2 linked regions of the Rattus norvegicus genome follow. The protein of the gene in region 2 purifies or fractionates together with the protein of the main gene of each other region. This does not show direct contact. Links are inferred from orthologs where the notes say so. Each region holds a gene or a part of one and is shown on either strand. Other genes may lie near its edges.

The links. The genes of interacting proteins can lie anywhere in the genome.
Region 1: the proteins of Capza2 (region 2) and Svil purify together in Homo sapiens (affinity purification with mass spectrometry; 3 studies listed by BioGRID and IntAct, counting the BioPlex papers as one, with this or other methods). This does not show direct contact. The link is inferred for Rattus norvegicus from reciprocal best matches to the Homo sapiens genes CAPZA2 and SVIL.

What each region holds. Positions count from the first base shown.
Region 1 is NC_086035.1:57,341,411-57,349,209, forward strand, and holds the end of Svil (supervillin), read right to left. Parts: intron 7,383-7,799; coding exon 7,227-7,382; intron 5,941-7,226; coding exon 5,797-5,940; intron 4,902-5,796; coding exon 4,777-4,901; intron 3,729-4,776; coding exon 3,573-3,728; intron 3,488-3,572; coding exon 3,401-3,487; 3' UTR 2,500-3,400; downstream 1-2,499.
Region 2 is NC_086022.1:46,941,099-46,948,897, reverse strand, and holds the start of Capza2 (F-actin-capping protein subunit alpha-2), read right to left. Parts: upstream 4,859-7,799; 5' UTR 4,802-4,858; coding exon 4,763-4,801; intron 1-4,762. UniProt on the Homo sapiens protein: F-actin-capping proteins bind in a Ca(2+)-independent manner to the fast growing ends of actin filaments (barbed end) thereby blocking the exchange of subunits at these ends.

The DNA of each region.
Region 1 (7,799 bases), on a different chromosome or scaffold from region 2:
AGGAGCCTGGGATGACGCCTACATTACAAAGATTAGTAGCAGTTTATGATAGTTTCCAGACATACGAATCCGTTCTAACGTCATCCACAAGGGACTCCCAGAGACCCATGGCATCGAATGTCCAGAACATTTTACCCAGCTCTGAGAGACAGTGAGAGAATGCAAGGCGGGGATGTGCTGGACACTGCTTCTGTCAGTTGATATTGCATCCATTCTGGGTTCCCCAAATCACAGTCTTACCATAGATGTCAGGCTGGCCTTGAACTCATGATCCTTCCGCCTCCACCTCCTGTGTGCTGAGACCACAACTCTGCGCCACCAAATTTGGCTTTGGGGATTTCTTCTTAATCTTAGTAGTGAAGCAGAGACACTGAGGAGAGTGCCTGTTCATTACTACATGTGAGGACACTGGGCTGTTACCTTTCTTTCTCAATCTGTCCTCAGGGATGAGCAATGTGAGACCAGTGGCTGGTCCCCAGTCTAGCAGGGACATCAGATCTGTAACATGCTCATAGGAGCAGACTTTTTCCAGTGACTTTTGATCTCATCCTTGGGTATATCTGTGGCCTGAGGTGTGAATCACCTTGACAGCCTGCTTCTGACGGAGCAGAGCCGAGCACGTGTGTGGAGCCGTGCATTTACTTTTTAAAAGCATGGCGTCTGCATGGGGAGACGTCTCAGTCAGTTAAGTGCTTATGGCAGCAGCACAGTGACCTGAGTTTAGATCCCAGCACTCATGTAAAAAGAAGTGTTTAGCAACACATGCTTAGGATCCCAGAGCTGGGGAGGCTGAGACAGGAGGATCCCCAAAGTTCACTGGACTGTCAGTCTAGCCTCATCAGTGAACTCCAAGCTAAGGGAATTTGTCTCAAAACTAAGGTGCAGAGTGAGTGGAGACCTGATGTTCACCTCTGATTTTCACACATGCACACACACGCAAACATTATATACATATATAATATATACATGTACACATACACATACGCATATATACATACATATAGACACACACATATAGACATACACATACATACACATGCACACACACATATAGGTATCCATGTTTCACATCCACAGATCCATTCAACCACAGATACTGACTTAGTTGAACTCAACATGTACAGCTCTTCTAGGTTTTAGGTGTTCTAAGTCATCTTGAGATAAATTAAAGTTCATGAAGCTATGAGAGGATTTTGAAAATGTTGACCCAGAAGGGTCTGATCCTAAAAGAGGGATAGAGACAGTGAGCTGGGGTCCGGGGAGGTGTTCATTCAGAGGCCAACATCAGGATGATGGCTCATGACTGCTGAATGATGTTGGGTACAGGTGCTGACACAAGAGTTTAGAGCACTTTGAACAACCTGGCTATGAGGGATGTGCTGATGACAGGGACCTAGCCCCTGCTGTCACTCTCAGGGACAGTCAAGTCCAGGTGTCAACGTGACCAGATGAAGAATATTAACCTGGGTGGGTACTCTGTGTCCACAAAGCGCCTGCAGAGGAGGAAAGGGTATCAGCATTGGATGAGAGGCTCTGGGGAGGGAATGTGGAAAGAAACAGACCACGGTATATTCCTCTGTCTCCTAAGCAGCAGGGACACTGGCTTTATGCTGTCCTCTTCCCAAGCTGGCTGCAGATGCCGGCAGACCTGTCTCTCTGTGACCCTCTTCAGATTGTTCTAATGGCTGCAAACATTCCTCCTTTGCTGCTATTTGGAAGATGCACTTTGAGTCCTCCCCTTTCCGTCATGTCTGGGTGCATGACTCCATCCTTTTACTTCACCTCTGTGCTATTTCATCTCCTGTCACAACAGCATCAGCACCAGAAGGTCCAAGGCACTGGACAATTTTCAAAGCTTATCTCCTCCATCTCTGTCCAAAGATCTGTGATGCTGGGGGACACAGGCTGTCTCCTTTCTTAGGAAAGGAAGGCAGGGATGTTTGGTGACTGGACAGTATCACACAGTCATAAAGCTGTGGGTCCAGGAGCAGCCGACAGGCTCCAGCCTTGGTACTGTCCCACAGTAGGGCATGGAAGCGGGCTGGGAAGTTAATACATGTTAAACTAGACGGAGCAGCGGCAGGCAGGGTGTAACAACTCACGGCCCATTCGCAGCACTCATGGTTTTGTCTCTTTTCAATTTCTATCAGTGCTGGGCATTGAACCTGAGCCTCCCACATGCCAAGCGAGCGCTCCCCACTGAGCCACCTACCCTGGTCCCATCCACAGCTTACACTTTAACACCTCACACATCCAGTCATGCTTGGAGAAAAGGCACTGAGATCTTAATACAAGCAGGGATGCATCTGTGGCATTGAGAACATGCGCAACGTTTACGGCAAATTTACAGGTCTACCTAACCTTACACCGTCCCGGAAAACTCCTGCTCTGTGCTGTGCTCCGGCCTCAGCAGTTGGTATCAATGCATCACACTGGGACTTGATTGACAGCTACAGAATTTCTCCCCCCACCCCCACACACAAAAGAACAGGTACGGAATTCAATGTAAACTGATCAATGAGTTGTGATTACTCTGAAATTTTATTTTTGGGATCCTGTGTCACAAAATGACGTGTGTAATGTTTACAATGGGTATGAGAAATTGAGATGTTTTTATCTCTACTGAGAATAAAACTGTAGATAAGGTTCCAAGCCGGCATCAAAAGAGCAGAGCAAACTTTTCTGTATATAAACTGTACATAAAACAAGGCACTATACACTTCCGGGGGGGACATTAAGGTAGAAAGGTTGATTCAGATAGATTCTTCAGAGTCACACCGGGAAGTAGTACAAAGTCTTTGCTCGCTTTAGCACCGGAAGCAGAACTCGGCACAAGCCAGACCTAAGGCTGAGGAGGCAGTCCTGAGCCTGGGAGAGACTGGTGGCAGGCCTAGGTCAACAGAAGTGACACAGCCCTACACTTGGTAATGTCCTTTTGACACCAAAGGGAACAGTTGCAAGTGAATGAATACATAGCTTGTTAAATACATAGTTGCTTTATATGGTGTTTATATAAATATATATATATATATTTAGAATTCACAAACTATCAAAATAACACTTTATAAAGAAAATTGCTTTAAAAAAGGCAACGCTGAGCTGGAAGAGGAGGGTAGGGCTGCAGCGGCCACTGAGGCAGCACTCGGCTGAGGGGAACGGAAGAGACGCTTTCTTTTCAGTTCACCTGAACTGTGGAAAAGAACGCTCCGAAGAGTACTCCTGGACATTTACAGAATGCTCAACTCCGGGACAAGCCATAGAGCGAATAAGGTCAGGTTTTGAAAAACTCTGAGTCAAAAATACTTTCTTCTCTGACAGAAAAAAACACCAGTCCAAATATATATCTCCATCCACTTTCTGGTCTAGTGGCAGTGACCTCTCTGTGGCTGTCATCTCACCCTCAGAACAGGCCTTTCGCTTTCTTCAGGTTCATTTGCTTCCAGGTGGGCAGTGCGTTGAATTCATCTCTGGTCATGTCGAGTGCAAACTGGAAGAGATTCGAGAGATGCCCAGTGAGTGACTGACTGAAAGGATGCTCTCCCACTGTGTCATCCCACTCGAGGGTCACTCACCTCGAAGTCTTCATCTGTAAGATAAATCTCAAGCTTTAGAGGGTCTACCCCCTCTGGGAGTGGCCTGGCAAGTAGATCTGCCAGAGGATAGATGGTTTTACACAGCTTGGCTAAGACGTCTTCCACCAGGGTGATCTGGTTGGAAACTTCAGTGTCCTGGAGACAAAGCATAGAACATTTGAGCAGACGAGTGCTATCTATGGATTGCATGCAGACTCCCAGCTATGCCCCATCTATGCACAGCCCGGGGAGGTCTGAGTAAGGCATCAGGCCACTGTGCAGTGGGGGGCCTAGATGTCCAGGAATTACCTTCTAGTCTTCATAGCCTTTCTCCCTGCAGCAGGTTTCAAATCAAACCTCTTTCTGAACTGCTTCCAAAAGAGTGAAAGGACGAATGCATGCATGAATGTTTAGGGACTCAGACTCCATGAATGAACAACAGAGAAAGATTATTGGGCCTAAAATCAAACCATTAGATGCTTGCACATAGTGGAATTTGTTTGAATATATTTTAAAATTATCACATTCAAAAGAAATCATGCCCTCTCCCCTTCCCCTAGGATTCATTTCTTAGTCCACATGAGACATAAAGAAAGTAAGGGTAAGGGTTTAGCTAAGGAGGGGAGTAAATGCCTAAAATGCAAAAGGCCCTGGGATACACACACACACACACACACACACACACACACACACACACACACACACACACCACAGAAGGGGGAGAGATATTCTGGGGAAGCTATCTTGATCTCTTATACTTGGGTCTGGGAAATGCTGCCTCCTCTGGGTTCTTGGATGGTGCATGAGTTCAAGCTCAGGTTCAAGCTATGGGGCCGAATCTCAGGGAGAAGTGGGTGAGGAGCTGAGCCTGCACCCGTGAATCACCCCTCACTTGGCGACTCAGAGATTGGAGGCAAGTGTTTTATGTGTTTTAAGTGTTTTATGCCTCAGCTCTGACACGGGTAAAAATGGAGACAATAGTAAGATGAACCCTACTGCACTGTCCTGGTAATGAAATGAAAAGGTGCTGTGGCCTTGCCAAGGCAGTACGCAGTGAGCCGTCACTGTTATACACCGTCCCCCCAAGTCCCTGCCACGCCCGATGAGCTACAGGAAGTGCAGGGATCCTGGGACAACCTCTGTCTTGACCTTAGACTGAATAAGGCAGCTGCAATGCCCATAGTCCTTGGAGCCCCGGGCTCACCATTTCTGTGATTTCGGCAATGTCTTCTCTGTGTTCCCAGCTGGGAAACATGTTAGTGAACGTCAGGGGCTCTAGCCCAGCATGGATAAGGTAAGACTTGGGGGGTGGCCTTTTGAGATTCTTTCCTGTGGGGACACAGAATGCGCATGTCAGTGGAGTCTGTCCTGCTTTTTCTCAGGCTCCTCCCATTTTTCTTCCATGTTTAAATGTGCATCATAACAACGCATGGGTGCTGTTTATCTGAAAGGTGACTCATGTTTATACGATGCAGATGCACTGATGTAAACCCCCCTCCAATCTGGCAAAGCGTTTATGAACCTCTGGGGGGACAGAGAGCTGTCTAGAAACTCCCACCAGGGACGTCTGCTTCCCTTTCATTCCCCTGGAGGAGCTTCAAGAGCACGTGACGGGCAACGGCAGCACCTTTCAGATGCCTGAGCATTTGGTGGGATTTGAAAGATGCCACAAAGAGCTCTCCATGGCAAGAACCAACCGTACACACTCCAGGGCATTAAGGGAGCCAGTAAACTATCGGCATGCAGTCAGGACATTAGTCACTGGTACCCGCTTACATTAGTTACTGGTACGCGCTTTCTGTAAAAGGCCGGATTCCATGTAGATGTTAATTAAGAAACTATGTTTTGGTTGTTTTGTTGTTATCATTGGATACAATACCAAAAAAAAAAAAAAGAGGCTGGTATTGGCGTTTAGCCAGTTTGGGCACATTTCCCTTCTCTAATGCTGGCACTGCCTGAAGAGAGAACTGTGCCATGAAGGTCACTTAGCCACTTACCCCCATGTTCAGAGTGGTGTCAGTGCAGGTGGTTCCACAATATACTATGTGGGTGGCCCTGCTGTTTGAAAGGGAAAGACGGACTTTCCTTTGTTCTGGTGGCAGAATGTACTGATCTTAAGATCGACAAGCCTCCAGCGGTTTAAGGGGAGTGCTGGAGCCTTGTCATGGCTGCGGGAGACTCAGAAGGAACATGGCTAGGTCTGTGGTGGCCTTCCACCCCTCACCTCGGCAGTACTGCAGGACTGTCTCCATGGCGCTCTTCCGGTCTGAGGCCCAGCGAATGCGAGCAGAGCCGGTTATCTTGTTTTCGGTGGGCCACCAGCCTTGCCAGAGGTACACCTCGTGATGGTTGTCAACAAGGAAGAGAGCTGTTAGGTAAGAGCAGAACGGGACCATCAGGGATTCCTTCACAGAGCCCTGCTGCTCTACCGGCTGTGCTCACATCCCTCTCCCTTGGTTCAGAGTGATGGCTTCTCTGCACACTCAGCCCTGAGCTTAAACTCTGACGGTCCCAAGCAGCATGTGGAAGGTGACCCAAGCCTCTTTGCAGACCTCCCTTTCCCAGATCATCCACAGATTGCTGGTGGCCTTTTCAAATGCTCAGGGCTCTGATGTTAGCTACCTCTGGTCTCCAAAGAGCTCACATTTGGTTTGCCCTCAACCCCCATGATGCTCTGAGGAGTGACAGTTCTTTGACAAGGACGTGAACTTTGAACAGAATCCTCCTGGCTCTACCTCCTTGTCTTTAAGCCTCCACCTGACTCTTGTTTTGTGTGGCAAATGCTTTCCAACTTGTCATCTCAGTGGCCCCAAGGACCCTCTTGATGTGCATTTTGGGATTGCTTTAAAAGCCAGTGGTTGTTGCTGATCCATCCAGAGCCCAGGAATGCAAGGACAGGGAGTAGCTTTCTCTTTTAGATACTCGTGGCTGCTGCCCATAGTGTGCCCATAGTGTTATGTATGCATCAGACAAGATCTGAGCTAGTGGTAGGGAAACTACTGTAAAATAAGGCTCCAGGCTTTGGCCAACTATGAGCTCATAGGCTTGATTGGCAGGAAGGTGGGAGGGCCTACAGAGCTCATTTCCTTTGCATAGGTTTGAGTATTAAGGTGTGACTTGGTGAGAACACTACTGATCTTGGAATTGGGAAACCAGGTCTGCAGTCTTAGCTCTGCTGAGGGCTTGCCCAAGTTCTTCCTTGGCCACTTGCTTTTCCAGAATCCTTTGTAGCTGGAGTGACCACATGACATCTTCTGGCCAATGGGATAAAGCTGAAACGTTTACTGGAGCTAGAGGGATGTAAGAAACTCCCCCTTTCCTGTTTCCTCAGTTTTGAATACAAACATGAGAGCTGGAGCTGGAGCAAGGGCGGCTCACAAGGGACCATGAAGCAGAACGTTGGAGAGGAAGGCTGGGAGAATGGTAAGGATGCCACGTGGCACTGTCAACTGCTCTTTGATGTAGGAAGTAACTGAGTTCAGTTCCTGATACAAAACTACGCGGCTGATTTTCTTGTTTTCTTTTGCGGTGGGTGGATAAAAGGAGATGCCCTAAGCAAGCCTGCTAGTATAGTTGGCAAATAGGAATTGTTTACAAAGAGAAGGAAAGGCTTCCCGGAAGGTGCTACGCGACCACGCCCTCTGCAGGGCTTACCTGGCTGCGGCGCGCTGTACAGATCCTCCTGCAGGAAAGGCATGGAGCTGACGGCAGAGGGCGCTCGCGCGGGGTACACGAACTCTGTCGCTGAGAAGTCTCCTGAGGAGCTGCTGAGGATGAACAGGCGGGGCGCGAAGTTAAAACTTCCAGGATCTTCCAAAGAAAAGAGAACAAAGCTAAGGAAACCATATGGACCAACTTCCAGATGGACTGAAGGTAAAACATATACCAACTCAAAGAACTGGAGGGAAATCAGCAGGATTTGGTTTATATAGCCTCTTTCTGGGAAGTCTGTTTCAGTTATTTTTGCAGTGTTGGGTATCAGACACAGGCTTCGGGCATGCTAGGCAAGCACTCTACCAATGAGCAGTGACTAAACCTCTGCGTGCATGTGTGCGTGCATGTAGATATGTACACACCAGACAGGCAGGCAGGCAGGCAGGCAGACAGACAGACAGACAGACAGACAGACACACACACACACACACACACACACACACACACACACACACACACACACACACACACACATGGTAAGCATAAAAGATCAATCCAACACGCTGAGCTACC
Region 2 (7,799 bases):
TGCAGTTGGCTTTTTATCAAATCAACACAAACTCTAGAAAAGCATTTTTTTAAACTCCCATAAACCTAAGTTTAATTTATTAAACTTATTTTTGGTGCTGGCAATTGAACTCAAGGCCTTATTATGACAAGCAAGTATTCTGTTAAAAATTTCCCAGTCTATAAACTAAAATTTTTAAAAAGTGAAGCTTGAGATATTTTTCAACTTTTATAAAAAACCAAGCCATTAGATAATGATTTTGTTATTCTGCTATTTCTGGATCTGTGATTTTTACACTGAAATGCTAAGTTCTATTCTTTATGAAAAATGGCTCTCAAATGTCCTGAAATATTCTATAAAAATTTCTCATTGAATGAAGTCTAAGAAATTCTATTTATATTTTAGCTGATATGAAATTCTTGCTTACAGTAGATATTGGTTCAACAGAATTCATCCACAAGATTAAATTAGGAATGAGCTTTTCCAAAAGAGCTTACTAGTCAAGCCTACTTTTTGTTAAGGCGCTATTAACTATACATTAAGGTGAAATCTAGCAGTTCGAAATTATTTGCATAACAAGATTTCTTAAGTCAGTTATATTATAGGAGGGGAAAATATTTTAAGCTGCTCATATATAAATTACATTTAGCATTTGAACTGCAAACACCTGTACCTCACAAAACACCAGGGATTAATAGACTCTAAAAACCAATGGCAAAATTTAGGAAAAAAAAAATTAAGACAGCTAGATTTCCATAGAAAAATCTGACATTATATGCTTTTATTCTTCATGACACAGGTTTTCTTTCAACTCTGTGAACTATAGGCTATTCATTTATTTACTCACTGAACCATTTTACTAGTTGCATGCAGGGTACTGGCAGGTGCTATGGATGACATCACTTCTGTACTTATAGAACAAGGAAGAAAAGTAAACCAGAGAGCATTAAAAAAAAATTGTACTTAGTACCAATGATGATTTATTAAGTTCAAGAGAGATTAAATGAGCCAATAATCTGAACTGAATTGCAAGAATAACATTTCTATCTTTTTAAAAAATGACTTGTTTTTATTTTATGTTCACTGGTGTTTTGCCTACATGTGTTTCTATGTGAGGGTGTTGGAACCCCGGAACCAGAGTTACAAAAAGTTGTGAGTTTCCATGTGGGTGCTGGGAATTGAACACAAGTCCTCTGAAGAGCCAATTACTACTCATATTTACAAATATATTCACAAAGTTCAGCAGAACCTAAGGCCAAGAGATAAACCTACTCAAGATGTTAGAAAAGGACCAGAGCATGATTAAACAGCATATATGAAAAGTGTCACAATTTTCCAAGTAGAAAGGAATACAAAGCCACTAGTTTGGGATGGCTCCAAGCTCCCTGAGTGTGGGGGTTGGAGAGGTGCATCATCATGCCAAGCACTAGGCACTGGTATTTTTTGAGACTATAGAAAAGAATAGTTTGAATATAAGTAGCCAGAGGAATTAATCTACAAACGCCCCCCCAACACACACACACACACACACACACACACACACACACACACACACACACACACACACACACTTGCCCATAGCGAATGCAACAGAAAGGAAAAAACAGATCTGACACAATTTCTAGGTCTCTTAACTTTAATTTTTATTTCTTTCTTAAATGCTACTATTGACCTAACTGTACTATTTGATTGGTGAAATTCTGTTACAACCTGATAATCTTGTCAACCCAGAGATTATGAACTCAATACTAACATAATTATTTTTTACAAACAAGAAACAAATTATTTGTGTAAGACATTTTTGATCATGATCATAAAGATGACAAAATTTTGCTCTAAGGTACAGGTCAAGCAGAAAAGAATTTAACAAAGCAAACTTGAAATATAGGACCTACGTGACTACAGCAATGAGAACAGGGATGTATAGAAATGGAGGGGGCCAGAGATAAAGCTTAGTTGGAAGGAGGCTTGACAAAGTCCAGGCTTCATCCCCAGCTTTAAACTCAGCAAGACAGAGTGCATGGTACAAGTAGGAGGACCAAAAGTTCAAGGTCATCCTCCACTCGATATACTGTTCCAGGCTCACTAATGCTGCAGTACCAAGAGCAGCCGCCATAGAAGTGTGCTCACTGGTCCAGGGAGAAAACTCTCTCAACTATTACTGTCCTCCTTCAGCAGAGTTTGAGAATGGTTCTCTTTGAGCTCTATATAACAATTTCATACAGTGTCAAATTCACGAAAATGCTTTATTATACAATTCAAATGAACTAAGAAAGAATAAGAAAGAAAAACTCTTTCTGGCTTGGAGTTTCTATAACTATGTAAAATTTACAGAGTCACACTATGACAAATTAATGCTGTTAAGGAACTTCATAGTTTCTTCAGCTAAATTTACTTCCTTATTAACACTGTGGCCAAAAGAAATTAAGCCATAAAAATCACAGTACATTCAGCCTAGTGTCCTAGATACTTTCCCCCTTCTGTTTGTTTGTTTTTGAGAGAGAGTTTCCCTGTGTAGCTCTGACTGGCTCGTAACTCAGAAAATCAAGCTAAACTTGGTCGGACTGAAACTTTTTCCTCCTGATCAGCCTTCAGGGTAGTGGGATTACAGGTATGCCTACAACGCCCAGTCAATCTCTTTCTGTTGTTGCTTTCTATAGGCTGGCCTCAGACCTAGAGATCCTCCAGCCCCAGTTTCCTCAGTACTTAGATTACAAATCTGCTCTGCCACACCCAACTACGAATTTCTAAAATGTCTCATCTCACAGGACCAGTAAGAAACTATAAAGCAGCAGCACACAATGTTCACATTACATAAAAATAAACTTCTTTTTAAAAGTGATGAAAACAGAAGTTTACCAGTTAACATTTTCACTAAGTATAAAACATAAATTTAGAACCTACAAAGAACCACTGCTTCCTTTTTAAAAATAAACAAATTGAAAACCAAGATATAAAACCAGGATAGTTCTACAATCAACTTCAAGGGAACATAATGTCATTAAGTATGCAAGCAAACCTGAATTCTGACAAACTTAGGTTTAAAGTTCACCTCTGCCATTTCCCTCCTATATAAGGCTTTTAAAATCTTAATTTACTTACAGGTAAAGGGTAATAAAACTATCTACTTCAAACTTAAAAAAGAAAATGCAACCTATTTTTCTTATGTGATAAGCACATACAAACTACAGTATTACACATCATAGTACCTCCCCTTCTTTAGACCTAAAATCTAAACAAAAACTCAAGTGTAAAAAGTATTTAAAACTTACTCCTGAAAATCACAAGCAAGGAAATAACAATAGAGAAGCATGATTTAAGAACTGGTCTTAAATATTACAATTGAATCCATTTCTGATCCATATGGAACACCCTCCTTCTAAAACAGTACAAGTCTACTGGGTAATAAAAGTGACAAGAACACTGTTTTCAATTTACTGGGTTATTTAAATTTCACTAGAAAGTTAAGCCACTGATTTCTTCAATTTAGAAAATACTGTTATAAAATCTGAATGTGAATCCCACCCTAAGAATTCTCTTCTCACTATCTTCCAAGTCAATTGAGCGCTTAAAAAGTACATGAAAGAAAACAAAACATGAAAAAAAATCCCTCCAAGAACTTTCAAACATTATTTTTCCTGTAGTGTGCACTGGTATATTTTCAATTAACAGCTTAACACTATTCAATGTTACTGTACAGCAACTTTTATGGACTTAAGAGTCTAACTCTGTGAATTAAAGTATGTTTGCCCCCATTTTGTTAGGTTATCTACCCTTAGTGGTTCTCTAACACCCAACTAAAATTGAGTATGTTTCCCACACCGGTGTACTTTATCTGGAACTTAAAAACTAAGCTAAGGTCAGACATTTCCAAAGTGCACCACACTCATGTCAGTCAAGTCTTAAGTTTCAAAAAACGTCTCGGTCTTTTCCAGAAAATATTCAAAATGTATAGAGTTCCCCTCACAGTACTCGCCCCTAGGTATGAGGTCGCCCTCAGTCGCCAAAGAAAATGGGCAAGAGTCTCAGTTCAATCAGATTTCGTATCACAAATGTGAGAACTTGAGTCCTGCATTTGGTCCCAGTGCTGTCACAGCATTTAACACACAGTAAAAGGAGTTGCACCCGCTCGCCCTCTTCGGAGTTGGTCCTATCAGGAAGATGGGATGTCACCAAATCTGCCCCAAGGGGGGGAAGCGGCCAAGTTGGACAGAAAACAACTATTGGGGGGAGGTGTCTTTGTGAACAATACTGCCTTCCGGGGAACATGGGAGCAGCAATTAAAAAAAAAAAAGGTAATGACAATATTAATAAAAGAAATGGATGGCAGGGGGTTGGAGGGAAAGGGGGCGGGATGTAGAAACTGCGACCTCCAGAGGGAAGGAAACACCCTGGAGAACCAGGAAGCACTTCGCGTTGGGGAGGAGAAACTGCAGGAAAAAGTGAGGGTCGGCTAAGCCGTTTCCCCCTCCCGCCCGCCTCACGGCGAAAGCCCCAGGCCAGGCGGCGCCGCTCCGCTGTCGGCCGCTCCCCAGCCCGGACCCCTAGGGCCCGGTCCCGCCACCCCCGCTCCGGCCCGCGGCCGCCCGGCTCCGCTTCCTATTTTCGGAGCACACACCCTACAAGGAGCGGAGGGGCCCGGCCTCCGGGAGCCGAGGCAGCACCCCGCTCGAGAGGCGCAGGCGTGCGGCCCACCACCAGAGCCCGCCCGGGGTCAGATTCCAGCCCTTGCGTCTCAGCTCTCGGTCCCGTCCGCCCTGCTCTTCACCGCCGCGGCGCCTACCTTCTCCTCATCGGACAACTGCTCCTCCAGATCCGCCATCTTCCTTCTGGCGACAAACCGTGGCGCTGGTGGCAGCAGCGGCCACCTGACTTCCCCCTTTCCGTGCGGTCTTCCGCGCCGCGCGCCCCCGCCAAGGGAGGGGCCCGCCGCCCAGGCCGCCGCGCACGCGCCCCGGAGCTCCGCCTCCCGGATCCAAGCCACTGCGCACACGCCCGGGAGCTCCGCCTTCCTCAAGCCGCCGCGCACGCGCCCCAGAGCTCCGCCTCCCTCCCCTGATCGCAGGCCTGAGCGCCACTGTGCGCGTGCGCAGCGCCTCCAAAGTCGGATTGCTATGGTATCTTCTGTCATCCTGCTCTGGTGCCTTCTCTACCCAATGATGACCATATGGACCAGGTTGGCGATGAGTACATTCTGAGCCCATGACTTTGTTCCCACCAAGTCCTGAACGCTGCCAACAAAAAATGTGAAAAGCTGTACCAATTTAAAACATTTTTAAGTATTAGGAAAAATACTGTTTTAATTAAAATAGGCACACACAATCCAGTCCATAATTGAAAGATTACTTTTGATATATTCATTTATTCATCCAAAACTATTTATTGGTCTTTTATAATAGGAAGGCCCTGGTGCTAGTTCTTAGGAATAAGAAAAGGAGGAAAAAAAAAAACCCAGACAAACCTAAATCCCAGAGAAACTGCTCTTAAGCTCACCTCTATTAATTAGACATTAAGTTAGGGAAGGCATTGTACTCTTGGAAGGAAATAAAATGTTAAGTTAGCCTTGGATGTGTACCCTCATGAACTGGCTATCCAGAATACTTACAGGACATTCACTAGAAATTTCAATTTCATGCAACCAATTTTTAGGTAAATATCCTATGAAGGATTTGAAACATTCTAAAAACATTATTTATTGTTTTCACATTTTACTGGCTGTCTCATTTTTATTTGCTAAATCTGGCAGCTCTACTACTGAAGCTTCAATTATTAAAAAAAAAAAAAAAGTAAGGATGAAGTCAAAGCTGACACAAGAAGCAGCCAGAAACATTGTTAAAATTGAGTTGCTAGTTCAGTAGACCTGAGTGGACCAGAGAATCTATATTTCTTACAGGTTCCCAAGTACGAGGAGTGCTATTCATCTGAAAACTACCCTTTGTTTGTGGAGGACTTAGAATTTAGCTAGGAGTTAAGACTTTAATAATTAGAAAGTGAGAAGCCATTGAAGGCATTCGGACAGTGTCACGACATGAACGGAACATGCTTGGCAGTGTCAGTCTGACAGCTGTGTGTAAATAACAGGTAAGAGTGCCCTTAAGAGTTCAAATAGCTATTTGGGTCCAAAAACACTATCATTAAGTGACTTACTAAAGTGTTCGTTTGCAGAACAGAAGAGGAAGCTGACACTCGAGGGAGCTGAAAGTGTCCAGTTGAAGATAAACCCATGGAGACAGTATGCAAGTTAATAAAGTACAGTGTCTGGCCAAAACTCTCAGGAGCGACAAATCAATATCAATTTCCTCTTTTATAGTTTCTAAACCCTCGCTTTATTTATTGCTCCCGGCAATTGTGTGTGCTCAAGTATTACTGTACCTCCAAACCAAAGTTCAGTAATTTAACCAACGCTGCATGCTCCCACATGACTGAATCCTAGGCATTTTTTCAACATCCCATATTCTTTCCACTGCCAGAACTTTCTCCCTTTCTCCACAGAATAAAACTTAATGGAGGTACCCTCTCTGGCATGCCAGCAATCCAGTTCACAGCACCTGCTTCATCAACAATCTCTCTGGAATTCAGGGTTTTCCCTCCAATGTTGTTCCTGTTGACTTAGCATTTTATATTTTGTGCGGTGGGTACTCAGTAAATGTTGCATAGTAACTTACGGGCGGCACTGCTCTTTACAAGCTTCGCCAAAAATCTCATACGGTTTTGCAATAATCTGAGTCAGAGTATGTTTCTAGCTGTGTCTTTGGTCATATTCTACATATGGTTCCCATAGTAATTCAAAGAGCAGTTAATTACCTATAATGTTGAATAGTCCCTATTGTAATCTCTTAATGCTACCTTCTTGATACAGCTAAAGAGAATTGCCGAATTTAAGTGACATGTATTTGGAAGGGATTTCAGTAGGTATGAATAAGAACTGATTGTTACACGACTGCATGAAGAAACGTGCTGGTATCTTTGCCTCTGGTGCTTCATAATCAAGAGGTAAGCAAAAGTTTCCTTACACAGTTCTACCCACATGAGAACTTCTACCCCCTTTCTCTCTAAGATAAGTTTTATTTACTCCTTGAGAATATTAGAGAATATATTTTGATCTTATCGAATCCCTTCCTCCCTCCCCAACTTCACCCACATCCTCTCATGATCTTTCTATTTAATTTTCAAACTCAATACTCTTTTGCTTTTTGGTGGTTGGGCCTGTCTTTTTAAGATTGCTTTAAAAAATATTCTTTTAAAATGTGTATTGGTGTTTTGCCTGCATTTATGTCTGTGTGAGGGTGCCAGATCCCCTGGAACTGGGGTTACAGACAGTTGTGTGTGACCACATGGGTGCTGGGAATTAGCAGCCAGTGTTCTTAACCACTGAACCATCTCTTCAGAACTGCTTTCTTTTTCTCAATTTCCTGTCGATATGCTCAAAGTCTGTAGCTATATTTTAAATTTATCATGAAGGTTGGTGGGATGGCTCAGCAGATAAAGGTGTTTGCCAACAAGCCCGATAATCTGAGTTCGATCACGGATCTCCAGAACCCACACAGTAACATGAGTGAACCAACTTCTCTAAGTTGTCTTCCAACATACACACATACTGTGGCATGCACCTCCCACAAACTTACTGTGGACAGAGGTTACCTGATTTCATAGACACAAAATCTTGGGATCCATTACTGTGGAGCAGTTTCCTTGGAGATTAAAATTCTTTGTCCCAAGTCTAGTTGAGTTAACTAGTGGGTTGAATGGAGTTATTTACAGGAGTATGGTGGCTCCATTGGGAGGGTAGCCATACCAGCCTGGGTAATGACTCATAAGAG